Struthio camelus: one gene and its partner. The protein of the gene in region 2 interacts with the protein of the main gene of each other region in a pairwise test. Links are inferred from orthologs where the notes say so. Each region holds a gene or a part of one and is shown on either strand. Other genes may lie near its edges.

The links.
Region 1: the proteins of KCNA3 (region 2) and CAV1 come close enough for resonance energy transfer, tested with the Homo sapiens proteins (2 studies listed by BioGRID). The link is inferred for Struthio camelus from reciprocal best matches to the Homo sapiens genes KCNA3 and CAV1.

Annotation. Positions count from the first base shown.
Region 1 is NC_090942.1:29,186,139-29,192,637, reverse strand, and holds the start of CAV1 (caveolin-1), read left to right. Parts: upstream 1-2,420; 5' UTR 2,421-2,713; coding exon 2,714-2,743; intron 2,744-2,950; exon of another isoform or gene 2,951-3,097; intron 3,098-3,619; coding exon 3,620-3,784; intron 3,785-6,499. UniProt on the Homo sapiens protein: May act as a scaffolding protein within caveolar membranes. Forms a stable heterooligomeric complex with CAV2 that targets to lipid rafts and drives caveolae formation. Mediates the recruitment of CAVIN proteins (CAVIN1/2/3/4) to the caveolae.
Region 2 is NC_090965.1:4,565,459-4,571,957, reverse strand, and holds the start of KCNA3 (potassium voltage-gated channel subfamily A member 3), read left to right. Parts: upstream 1-2,004; 5' UTR 2,005-2,163; coding exon 2,164-3,909; 3' UTR 3,910-5,512; intron 5,513-6,499.

The sequences.
Region 1 (6,499 bases), on a different chromosome or scaffold from region 2:
AACTCCCAAAAATGTGCATAAAAGGATGCACTTAAGCAGTCAAACAGAAGACTCCTAAGAGCATCAGTGATCTTCTAATTTTCTGAGTCAGAAAGAAGAGCTGAGCCTGAGTTTTGTAAGCACTCTGCATAAGGAAGGCTGCTTGCTGACAATCTCTCTTATCTGACAGCCTGGATGCTGTTGAGACTACACATGAAGAGAACAGTTTCTCAGGGCTGATTCTGATCTTGCTGACATTGGAATATATTAGGAGTATTGCTAATACTGGAATTGCAATAATTGCACAACAAAAAGGAGCAGGGGACGAGATGTGCAGAGTGGAGTGAGAGGGAGCATTTGATGCCAGAGACACTCAATGAGCAGTCATGCACATTTAGTTCACTCTTATGACTCATTTTCTGACATTATTGTTTGAGGAATTTCATCCAATCCAACTTTTGTGCTGGCTTTTTAAAAGAAATATTTCCTACGCATATCAAAAGCTTTCTCAAAATGGGAAGAACTGCTCACAGCTTGCACATAGACGCTTCTCCATGTTTACAGTCAGTTCTGAATCCTGATGTTTGAAAATTCAGTTAAAGCAAAGCTTTGGAGCATAAAAAACTTTTTAAAATTAGGCATAAAATGCCTAAAGCTGGTGTGATGGAGAACGAAGACAGGCAGTGATGTGGCCAGCTAAAGTAGCATATATCAAGAGGTGACCTGGACAAAGCTCAATGAGAAGACTGTCTGGGTGCATTTTTCATACAACAGGCCACATAGCAATGGGCTATGATTTTAGTCTCTGCAAACATAACTCCCACACATTCACAACATGTTAGTACCTATGTATGTACCTATCTCTGTAGGATGTTTTTGTAATATTCAAGCTCAAATAAGCACTTCTAAGGTTCATCAGATGTGACAGATCATTTCTGCTGGTAAGTAGCCTGTTCTGGGGTTTATCTCACAGAGGTATAAATTTCACCAGCTTCCAATATTCCTCTAGCTGCACTAGGGCTGTGTGATTCAGAATTTTTTTTAAGGGTGCTGCAGTTCTGCAGAAACTATTCCAAGACCAGAGTAGCATTTCAAGCTAACAAATACATCCCTTAATTTAGTCATCCTTGAGGTATGCAATAATACTGAATGATGGGTCAAAATCTTCTGATGCACATGCAGGAAACTAGCTAATTAAAAAACTGTCAGCCTATAAATCAAAGACCTGTCTTTCTTTAGACAGGGTGAAAAATTTCACTGAGATGATGTCCCTCAGTTCACCCATGTGACTTTATGCATACACTGAAATGTCTGGAAAGCAGAAGATATTTTAGTGATGGCTTAAGCGAATTATTGCATCAATAAAGTCACTTTTAAAAATTACAACCAACTTGGAAAGTTGGAGAACATCCACCTCAGAAGTATTTGTTTTAAAGTTTATGAGCAACAGAAAACTTTTAAAATTCACTGCTAATGGATGACCATATCAGTAATACGTATCCACAGAGACTGCATTCTTAACAGGTGCATTTATTACATTTGTGCAGCCTACTTCCATCTTAGCCAATGGCTTGTTGCGGTCCTTTTTCTGTTGAGTTGCCAGAGCCAAATATAGTGCAGTTTGAAATTTTCTACTTCTCTTGTTGCAATTCTGTGCTAAATGGCATAACACTAACCCTACTTTATTTTGCTGTTAATGTGACAAATCTTACACTATAAGCTGATTTCCTAGCAGAACACTGATGGTTGCAAGCACCAAAAAATGCAGGGCTATAACTAATAGTTTATAGATGTGCAGTGCCATTGTAACCCTAACCTGAACCGTCTTGAACGCAGCGAAGGACCCTGAGAGCTGTTACACCGACACATGCACCAGAGCTTATAGAGGGCCTTCAGAATAGAAGGCAAAGAGAAGGCATGGCAAAGAGTCACAGGGTCCCACCATGCCTTTTTAGAAGTAGAGTGCCAGTGGTTAATATGCATGGCAGACATGCATGGGTCAGTCTCCTCCTAGGAAAAATATTGTACAACTCAAGTGCAGGACTGTTAAATATTTGCATAGTTTTGAAATGAACCAGTCGGGAAAGTCTCCTTTTCTTCAACCCAAGGATGTCCAAGTTTCCACAATTGTTCCTGGGGCACTAATGGCTATGTGTAGACTGCTGTCAAGGCGGGGGGCGGGGGGGAAGGGGGAGGAAGAAAAGTCCTGCAAACTCACTCCTTGCTCCGCTCCGGACTTGAAACACAACTAAAGTTTTCCATCTCCTCACTGCTTCCTTGCTCCTCGGCGGCTCTGCCGCATCCAGGCACGGCCGCCCCCAGCCCGGGGGGACCCCGAGGCGTCCAGGGGGGCGGCCAGGGGAGCAGCTGGGGCCGGCGGCCGGCGGGACCAGCTCCGCGGGGCGGGCGGGGGAAGCGCCGGGCGGCGCGGCCGGGCCCCCGGCGGCCCGGCGTGGTCCCGGCAGCCGGGGCCGGGGCAGCCCGCTCCCGGGTTGCCGAGGGCTGGGTTACTTTCCCCTCCCAGCCCCGGCCGCGCTCGGGAGATGCCTAGCCCTGCCGCTGCTGTCATCCAAGCCAAACGCAGGGAACAGCCCCTGGCCGGCGGCCAGCTGTCTCCCGCGCAGCTACCTCCCCCCTCGCTAGCTGTTTTACAATACGGATCTTCCTTCCTCCGGTCGTTCAAATTATAGCACAGAGAAACCTGAGGCAGAACCGCCACCGAGCCCGGGGCAGCATGTCCGGTACCAAATACGTAGACTCGGAGGTAGGGCTGCCGGGGCCGCCTCAGACCCGCTCCGCCGCCGCTCCCGCCGGGCGCCGCGTACCTGCCGCAGCGCCGCTGCCCCGCGCCGCCGCGGAGCCGAGCGGAGCCGAGCGGGCTGCTCCGGCACGGGGGCAGCTCGCCGCCGCTTCCCGCCGCGCACGGCCTTGCGGGGGAGCCGCCGGGTGCCGGCTGCGGCGGCGGGGGGCAGCCCCGGGCGGGCTCGCCCCCGAGGGCCGGGTCTGCAGCCGGGGCAGGCGCCGCCGCTGCCCGCCCTTCTGCGAGCGCCGCGGCGAGGGCGCGGTGTGGCGCGGAGCCGGGGCGGTGCGGTGCGGGTACTGCGGTGAGGGCGGTCAGGTGAGGGGGCTGCGGTGAGGGGGCTGCGGGGGGAGTGGTAGGGTCAGGGCGGCACGGCGAGGGCGGTAAGGTGAGAGCGGTATGATGAGGGCGCTGCGCGGGGTGACCCGGCGCGGCTCGGCTGCTGCAGGCTCGGCGCTGCCGGCGGCGGGGGCAGAGCCGCGCTGCGCCCCGGGCAGGGGGGCACGGGGGGCCGGGGCAGTCGAGGTGCGGCTCGGGGGGAGCGGCGGGCAGGCCGGCGGGCGGCGGCCGGGGCGGCGCCCCGCGGGGCGTGCGGGACGCGGCGGCGGCGGCGGCGCGGTCACTCCGCGGGGCGCGCTCGGCCTGGGACGCCTGGCGGCGGGAGCGGGAGCCGGAGCCGGAGCCAGCGCCGCGCCTGGTACCGCGGGGGGGAGCGGGGCGGCCCCTTCGGCGTTTAAATAGCCGCGGCGAGAGCCGCTCCCGCCGCTGCGCGCACCGCCGCGGGAGCCCCGGGCCGCCGCCCCCAGCCCGCCTCTTCGCCTCGCCTCTCCCTCTCCTCAGGGCTTTCTGTACACGGCGCCCGTCCGGGAGCAGGGCAACATCTACAAGCCCAACAACAAGATGATGGCAGATGAGCTGAGCGAAAAGGTGGTGCACGACGTGCACACCAAGGAGATCGACCTGGTCAACCGAGACCCCAAGCACCTCAACGACGACGTGGTCAAGGTGAGGCGCCCCGGCGGCGGGCTCGGGCACGGGGGGTGATGCCGCTTACTTCGCAGCAGCTGCCCGTCCTGCCAGCGGCACCGGATTTGCGGCCGTTTCCAGGGCACGCTCCGGCAGCTGCCCTTGAGCCGCTCCCCTCCACCTGCCGCACAAGCGGAGGGGGTGCTGGATTTTTTTTTCCTTTTTTAAAGGAAAAGTGAGGGGGAAAAGAGCGCAGCAGGCTGCGAGCTGGGAGCTCTCCCCGGGCTGACGCCGCTGCAGCGCGGCCGGGCGGCCCGGTCCGCGGGCGCGCAGGGCCCGGCGCGGCAGCGCGGTGCTGGTGCGCGGCCGCGCGGGGGCTTACGGCAGTCCCCGCGGAAGCGCGGCCCCGCGCGGGGCTCCGCGCCCGCAGGTCTGCTCTGCCCCGCGGCGTCCCGGCCGGCGCTGGGAGAGTGGGGAAGAAGCTGCATGACCTTATGTAACACTGGCAGAAGGATTTTCCTTCCCTCAGGCACGTATAAAGGCAGGGCAGGGAGGTGGCACCAAACCCGCCTTAAGCAGTGCAGCTCGGAGCTGGCCGCACTGCTGGGTACGGCCTCCAGGACCCACACAGATTGCCCTCCCTACGCCAAGCGGGTGCAAAATAAGAGGTCCTGGTCATAGTTTGGGTTTGTTTCCTTGTTTTGTTTTCTTTTTCCTGGTATTTTTCCCTCCCGATAGAAATGCTAAAAGGAAACAGGCTAAGCAAAAACTGACTGCCCCCTTGTCTGGATTTTTTGGTCGGGTTTTTAATTCAGAGCTTGACTGTTTCAACAAATCTAGGTCAATGGAGATTTTTTACTTGAAGTCACTTTGGTCAGAAAAATCATAAAGCTGTTTTTTCCCTTAGCAGAGCAATTTTATACTACACATGTGAAGGCTAGGGGTGCTGTCACCTAGGTTTGTCAGAACTTAGGAAAAACAGGAGTCACCCAGTCACAGCGTGAAACTAATCCACTTACTGGCTCAGTTAGGGTCCAGCACAGCACAGTCCTAGTTCACCCAATCCCTTGGTCAGGAAGAACCATCACTGAAAAATGGAAACATCGTATTCTTTCCAGAGGATGAAAAGATTGACCTTGGTCCCTAAATGTGTGTGTCAGTAAAATGATTCATGCCCTGTGCATACAATATAATACGGTCCCAAGTATCCTCAAATTCTGCTGACTTCAGCACAATTTGAAGGTGCTGTGCATAATTAGCCCTCTTGTCGGATCAGCCCTAAAAGTTATTGCACAGAGCAGGCTATATATTTAAGGATCCATTGGATTCGAGGTCTAGAAAGAAAAAGAGTAAAGTTTGCATTTTTTTAGGGGAAAAAATGGTCTGCAAAAGTGCCTAGTAGTACAAAACTTCTATTAAAATGGCTAGTTTTAAAAAGGAGAGAGTAATTCTTTTTTATTCTAGCCATGGAAGAGCAGCAGAGTAGGCAGGGAATGCAAGAGCTGAGAAATGAGACGGCATCACAGCTCATTGCATACAGCAACTGTAGAAGTCCCCAGAGCAACCAAAACTTCTGAGAATGAGTCATAGCCCCCAGGCAAGTTGGAATCTGGGTATCCACAAACTTAACTAGAGAAAGAAAGATCCTGCTGGGAAAGAGGGACCACTGATGGAAAAAACTCCTAATGGACTTAAAGGAGCCCAAAATGTATAAAGCTTGTCCAGCCCCCTCTGCCTCCCACAGGGGCAAAGTAAGCATTATAGGGATGAAAAAAACAAGGTACCCAGTTTGTTCCTTCAAAATAATCGTGGACCAACAAATGCATTCATTGAAAACAGCAAACACCCCGAATACCAGTTCCGCCTCTGTATCAGCAAGGGAGTTTCTGGTAGTGAGAGTAATAGTCACATCAAGACGCAGAAAAGTATCCAAATGAATTTGATGTTTACCAGGCCGGATCCATTCTGCATTGTAACAACAGCAGCATTTGTAAGAAGTGTGGACATTGCAAAGCAACATTTTTCTGTCTTGTTACAAGGACAGTTAAGAATGATTTTGATATTCATAAGCATTTACGAGTATTTCACAGATCGGTCCAACCTGAAAAGTCCAGAGAGAATTTTGCCACAGTTCTAGTTTATTTGGGTACTATTTTCAAATTCATTTTATTAGAAGTAGCCATAAAGTTCAGATCCAGTTCCTTGTGGACAAACTCTGATTAGGGTGAAGAAATAAAGATTCTGCTTCTGCCTTAGCCATCAGTCTGTGCTCCCCTCCTGTTGTATGTCTGCCTTTCTTACTTCAGTTGTATATTGTCCAGGGCAGAGTGTAAAAAATATGCTTGTATAACACAAGGGATCCCCAATCTCAACAGGGTACTGAAAGACCTAGCAAAAATGTGTTCAGAGGTATTTTAAAGCCAGAAGTGTGGTTCAGGCTTAGCTCGACTTCGTTCAGAACAGTTCTGTTTTCTGCGTTCAGAACCTTCCACTTTTTAGTCAGCATTTAATGCATTTCTTGCCACTTGGCTATGAGGCACAATAGCATGGAAACGGGGGACAAGTCAGTCAACCATGAAACAGAAATGATTAGACAGAGAACGAGGAATCTGCTCTGTAAGCAGCTCTCTAAAAGGCCTCAGTGTTGTCTGCATTGAAATACTTCCCATAGCACATTTTAAAAATAACCCTTGCTTGTGAGAAGCAGGAGACATGTTCCCTTGATGTGCAGCACAAAGCATCTGCACAGCTTCC
Region 2 (6,499 bases):
CCTGGCAGAGGAAAGGGATGAGCCAGACAAGTCTTGAAGTGCTACACACATGTACGCGGTGCGCAGCTGATGGCTGTTTCATGCTCACGAAACGCGCAGGAAATAGCTCCTCGCGCTGGGATGCCAGCAGTCGTTTCGAGGAATTTTCCTGGCTTTCCTAACCTACAAGCAACGCCGGTAGCTCAAGGGTTAATGATCAGCCCAGGCTGTGCTTCCTGCCCTGTCCGGGGGCTGGGAAACTTGGGAGATGCTCCGGGTTGAAAGGGAGGAGTGCTTGCTCTCGCTGGGAGCACATCCCGGATTTGCGCTATTAATTGCGGTAGCAGAGACGGGGTGAGCGGATGGGGATCTGTTGGCCCAGCTGTCTCCTCCAAGGCCAGCTTGCAGCCTCGGATGAAACGGGCCTCCATGGATGGGGTTTAAAGCCAAGGATGGAGGTGACAACAAGGGACATGCATCAAACTCCATGGCAAGGTGCACGTCCCCGTGCAAGCAGGATCGCAGGGGACCGTCTTCGCAGGGGAGCCTGCAATTTTCCTGGTGGTGTAAAAAATTGCCATGCTGGGCATGCTGTCCGGAAAGAGCACCAGGGATGATTTTGGGAGATGCAACCGCCACGGGCGGCTTAGCCAAAGGCTCTGCTTGGCCTCGGCGCCGCGTGGGAGGCCCACCTTGTCAGCGGGACCCCCTCGGTGTGCCTAATTCCTGGGAAACCTGACGGGTGGGCGCTGATGCCTTGGGACAAAGGGTTTTTTTCCCCGCGTCGGCTCTGCCAGCGTCGGTCCGGCGTTCCCGCGCCCGGTGCGGAGCCAGCTCTGGCGGCGCTGTTTAGTGTTGATTTTCCCCCGTGCTTGGCTTCTTTTATGGCTTTGTATATTTTGTGCAGCTTGTTGCTAATTTAAAGCATAAATAAGTTTGATCTTTTCATCTGTTTCTCTCCCTACCTTCTGGAGGCTGTTCTAGTTAAAAATAACCGCGGTAATAAGCCGGAGTGGGGCTCCAATCTGCCGGAGCGCTTCTAACCTCCTTCGCAGCGGGACCACCCGGGCGACGCAGGGAAGGCGGCGCGGTCGGACCTCTCACACCTCCCTGAGCCTCGTGGCCGGGCTTCTTCCCGAGCGGGTAATTCCCTGAATTGCCCAAGCCCTGTTTGGCACGTGCCTTGGGATTAGAGGGCTTTGGGAGAGCGAGGGGTGGGTTGGGGAGAGCTCTGGGGGCAAATCTCACGGGGCCGGAGCGTTTGCACGAGCCGTGCTGGGTGCTGGTCGCCGCGGTGGAGGCTTTTCCCTTTAAAAAAAAAAAAAACCCTTTCATCAAAATTGATCGATTTGCATAAGATCAGTTCAAGGAGGTGGTGGGGGGGGGAATGAAAAGCCGTTTGGCTGGCTCGGGGAGGGGGGGGGGAAACGCTGAAAGGCAGATCTGCGTTTCAGACTGCGACTGCCTTCAGCTGCGATCCGACTGCGCTTCGCTCCTCCGCTTGTTTGGCTGCGGGGAGGCACAGGCACACACGCGCACACACACGCACGCTCTGTCTCAACCTCTCTCCTATGCAAAAAAAAAAAAGAAAAGAAAAGAAAAGAAAAGAAAATCCCTCCGACTGTAGCTGAAATGCTGATTCAAAACAACTGTTGGCTGCTCTCTGAGGCGCTGTCTCTGCTTCCCGTTAGCCGCAGCCGCGTCCCCGAAACGGTGACCCGCAGCGGACAGGCAGAGCCGAAGCGCCGGCGTTAAAAAATAAAAAAATAAATCACATTTTGGCTTTCCCCCCGGGGTGGGGGGGGGGGAAAGCAGGAAAACTCCTTCTAGGCAGCGCCGCTGCCAGGAAAAAACTCTTCCCCCCGCGCGACCGGCGGCCGCGGAGGGGAGACGCGGGGGCCGGGGGGCCGGGGGGGCCGGGGGGCCGCGGCCGGCCGGGGCGCGCTGCTGGGGGTGGCTCCGGCGAGCGAGGCGGCGCCAGGGCTGGGGGCGGATTTTTTGAGAGGAGCCTCCGCTGCTCAGAGCGGCAGCGGGCGCCGGAGGAGTCGGGCGGTTGCTTCTCCCTCTCCGCCCGCAGGAGGACGAGGAGGAGGAGGAGGAGGAGGAAGAAGAAGAGGCGCCGCCGCCGCCTCCTTCCTTCCTTCCTTCCCCTCCGTCCTGCCCGACCCCTTCTCCCCCACCTTTATGGACGAGCGCCTGAGCTTGCTCCGCTCTCCGGCTGCCTCCTCGGCCGGCCGGCCCCCGCGGGGCAGCGCCGCCAGCAGCCACCGCAACCTGGGCTACAGCGAGCAGCCGCCCGCCGCCCGGCAAGAGGAGGACGAGGGCGAGGAGGCGGAGGAAGGCAGCATGACGGTGGTGGTGGCGGGGGGCGGCGGCGACCCCTTGCCGGAGGAGCCGCAGCATCCTCACCCTCTGCTCGGCGGCGACCGCTACGACCAGCCGCCGCCGCCGCCGGGCGCCGCCGCCGCCGCCGGGCACCCCGCCGCGGGCGGCGAGCACGAGTGCTGCGAGCGGGTGGTGATCAACATCTCGGGCTTGCGTTTCGAGACCCAGCTCAAGACGCTGGCGCAGTTCCCCGAGACGCTGCTGGGCGACCCGCGCAAGCGCATGCGCTACTTCGACCCGCTCCGCAACGAGTACTTCTTCGACCGCAACCGGCCCAGCTTCGACGCCATCCTCTACTACTACCAGTCGGGCGGGCGCATCCGGCGGCCCGTCAACGTCCCCATCGACATCTTCTCCGAGGAGATCCGCTTCTACCAGCTGGGGGAGGAGGCCATGGAGAAGTTTCGGGAGGACGAGGGCTTCATTCGGGAGGAGCAGAGGCCGCTGCCCGACAAGGAGTTCCAGCGCCAAGTGTGGCTCCTCTTCGAGTACCCGGAGAGCTCTGGGCCGGCCCGAGGCATCGCCATAGTCTCTGTCCTGGTCATCCTCATCTCTATCGTCATCTTCTGTCTGGAGACCCTGCCTGAGTTCAGGGATGATCACGACTATGAGGGAACCGGGGGGACCTTTGGGACGGGTGGTGGCCCTTTCCCACCTGATGTCTTCACCAATTCCTCGTCCTCGGCTGCTTCCATGGTGTCGTCCTTCACCGACCCTTTCTTTGTGGTGGAGACTTTGTGCATCATCTGGTTCTCTTTTGAGCTGCTCGTCCGCTTCTTCGCCTGCCCCAGCAAGGCCACCTTCTCCAAGAACATCATGAACATCATTGACATTGTGGCCATCATTCCCTACTTCATCACGCTGGGCACCGAGCTGGCCGAGAGGCAAGGGAACGGCCAGCAAGCCATGTCCTTAGCCATCCTTAGAGTCATCCGCCTAGTCAGGGTCTTCCGCATCTTCAAGCTCTCCCGGCACTCCAAGGGGCTGCAGATCCTGGGGCAGACCCTCAAGGCCAGCATGCGGGAGCTGGGTTTACTCATCTTCTTCCTCTTCATTGGCGTCATCCTCTTCTCCAGCGCCGTCTACTTCGCAGAGGCCGATGACCCCAGTTCGGGTTTCAGTAGCATCCCCGACGCCTTCTGGTGGGCAGTGGTGACCATGACCACAGTGGGCTATGGGGACATGCACCCCATCACGATCGGGGGCAAGATTGTGGGGTCTCTCTGTGCCATCGCGGGGGTGCTAACCATTGCTCTCCCTGTGCCTGTCATCGTCTCCAATTTCAACTATTTCTACCACCGGGAGACCGAAGGTGAGGAGCAAGCCCAGTACATGCACGTCGGCAGCTGCCAGCACCTCTCGTCCACCGAGGAAATGAGGAAGGCTCGCAGCAATTCCACCCTCAGCAAGTCGGAGTACATGGTGATAGAAGAAGGGGGCATCAACCACAGTGCATTCAAACAGGCTACCTTTAAGACAGGCAACTGCACAACCACAAACAATCCCAACTGTGTGAACATCAAAAAGATCTTTACGGACGTTTAAAAACAAAACAGAACAAACAAACAAACAAACAAACAAAACCCTGAGGCTGCGTTGCAAAACAACAACAATAATAATGCAAAATGACTGTGTACTCAGTGTTGTGTGGAACATGCACCATCGTCGGTCCGTGTGTGCCCTTGGTTTTATACGTTTCCTTTTTTTTTAGATTGTTCCTTTCTATCGATCATAAAAAGGAGGATTTAAAATGCTCCGAAGAAAAGAGGACGGGTAAAGGGTAAAGGCGAGGAAGACGAAGGCAAAACACACTCACCCTGGAAACAGGTGTTTGTTCTGCAACGTGTGGCAGGGCTGCTTTTGTTTTCTCCTTTCTGGGGACGTCTTGCTTGGCTTCTGTTTTGTTTTGTTTTGTTTTGTTTTTGTCCTCCCCCTTCCCTAAAGGCAGTGTGTAGCTGTTTTCCCTTCCATCACATAAGCTCACTTGTTGGATTAGCAACCGCGAGTTGGGTGGGGAGACGAGAAAAACATGTTGCGGAGCTCGTTGGAAGGAGATGGGGGTTGGGAGGAAAACGACCGCTTAATTTTGCAAAGAGTCTCTGTTACCACATTGTTAAATGATGCTTAATATCGAAACATGTGGTGTGCCATTAGGGGCGCATCCCAGATTCCCTTTTCTCCCCTTCTAGATCTTTTTTGAAATTCTAATCTGGCCGGAGAGCGAGTGTAATCACTTCTGATTTAAACAGCACGAAGAAACAAAAAAAAAATTCCTCATTTTCTATTCCTAACTCCCTTCCCCTGCAACCCTACGGGATTATTGCATCCGACAGAAAATTGCTGTCCGCCCGGCGAGCGTGAGCACGGGGCAGGGGGAGACGAAAGCGCAAGATTTAACGCTCGCGGCGAGAGCCCGGGGCGCGGGGAGCGGTGCCGGCGCGGAGCCGGGGCTGGCGGCGGCGGCGGCGCGCTCGGCACCCGAACCCGCGGGAGATTTCCGCCCGGCTGCGATGCAGTCGCGGGAGCGGCGGCCGCTTCATCGCCAGGAGATAAAAGCGGCCGACGGCGCCTTGCAGCGGAAGTTGCTAATTCGGACCGGAGTGATGCAGTTGCCATGGCGACCCCGGTTTCCTGGGAAACCCCCGAAGGTTGTCATGGCATCCCGGCTGCCAGCCCCCTCGGCGGGTGCCCTTCCCGCAGCCGCCCTTCCAGACGCTTCCAGCTCCCGCGGGACGGCCGCGACGCCGGCGCGGAGCGGGTGCCGGCCCGAGGCGGGCGCTCCGCACCCGTTGCCCGGCCCGCCGACCGTCCCGCTCGGTCCACGTCCCCCGCCGCATCCGTTTGTAGGCAATAAGCACGCCAAAAGTCCACCTCGCCCCGGCCGCCCCGGCGACGCGATTTGGGAAGCGGCGTCTCTCGATGCAAACGCAAGCGCCCGCCGAGCCCGAGCGGCCGACCCACGTGCGAGCGCGAGCGGCGCCGAGCCGGGGATTGCCGCCCAGCGACGCCAACCTCTCCAAACCGCGGGGGAAACCCACGCAGCCGTAAAGAGCAGCATTGCAAAGTGCCCCAAACCCCGCCGGGGGAAACCATGCCCGCTTCATCCTTCCTTACGCGCCCGGGGCCGCGGGACGTCAGACAGGAGCAGGTGAGCTTCGCCCGCGGCGCTTAACGCCTCCTAAGGTACCATTGCTTTTTTGGGACGGACCTGATGTCTTGCCCAGTTTTGCATCCGACCGGGCTGCCCTCATGTATTTATGCGCCTGTTGGGTGGAGTGCAACAACACCCTATGTCTCCTCTGATTAACCGGCTTTTCCCCCCCTCGCCGTCGCTCGCTCCGGGCGGGCAGAAGGGGCGGCAAAGCCGCGCGGCTCTTGGCAGCCCCGTTTTCTTCCGCTGAAAAGGTTGCTGGCGGCGTTTCCGCCGCGAGCAGGGCCGACCGGTGCTCGCGGCGCGGGCTGGGGAGGCAGGGCCCCGCGCCGCGGGTGCTCGGGCGCCGCGCACCTCTCCGGCTCGGCGCGCCTTTGCCCTTGCTCTGCGGTTTCTCGCTAAGTGCAAACAGATTCCTTCGCTGTAGCGAACCGCGCGGGAACGCCGGGAGATGCCTCTTCCAACAAAAGAGCAACTAGACTCGTAACCGAGGTGAGTCACACGTTTAGCCGAGCGTGCAGAAAGGGAGGATTTGTCCCGGGGAGATCCTGGCCGCGCGGAAATCAGAGCTGAGCCGGGATTTTAGCCAGACTTAAAAGGATCAGAGCAATTCGTAACATGTAACGCTCGCCCTTAGCCTCGTCTTAGCCCCGCTGTCTTGCTCAGTTAATAAAAAAAAAAAACCCTTATAACCGAGCAAAACACCGGGGCAGCTCCTCAGCTAACGGTATCTGACAGCTTTATTGGAGCTGCAGTAGTTTACAGAGGCTGAAGATCTGATCGAATAATCTTTATTAGTTGGATGTGCTGGAGCTTTGCCACGGCGGGAGCTAGCAGGCAGCTCGCATCTCCCGGGCAGCCTTTTCCAGGGTGGCAAAGGTGGGACCCGCAGCCGGGAGACCTTTTCCGAATAACCTCCCGGCGGGTTTTCACCCGCGCCGGCCTGGCTGGGTTGTCCCGCCGTGCCTCTCGCCCCGCTTCTGC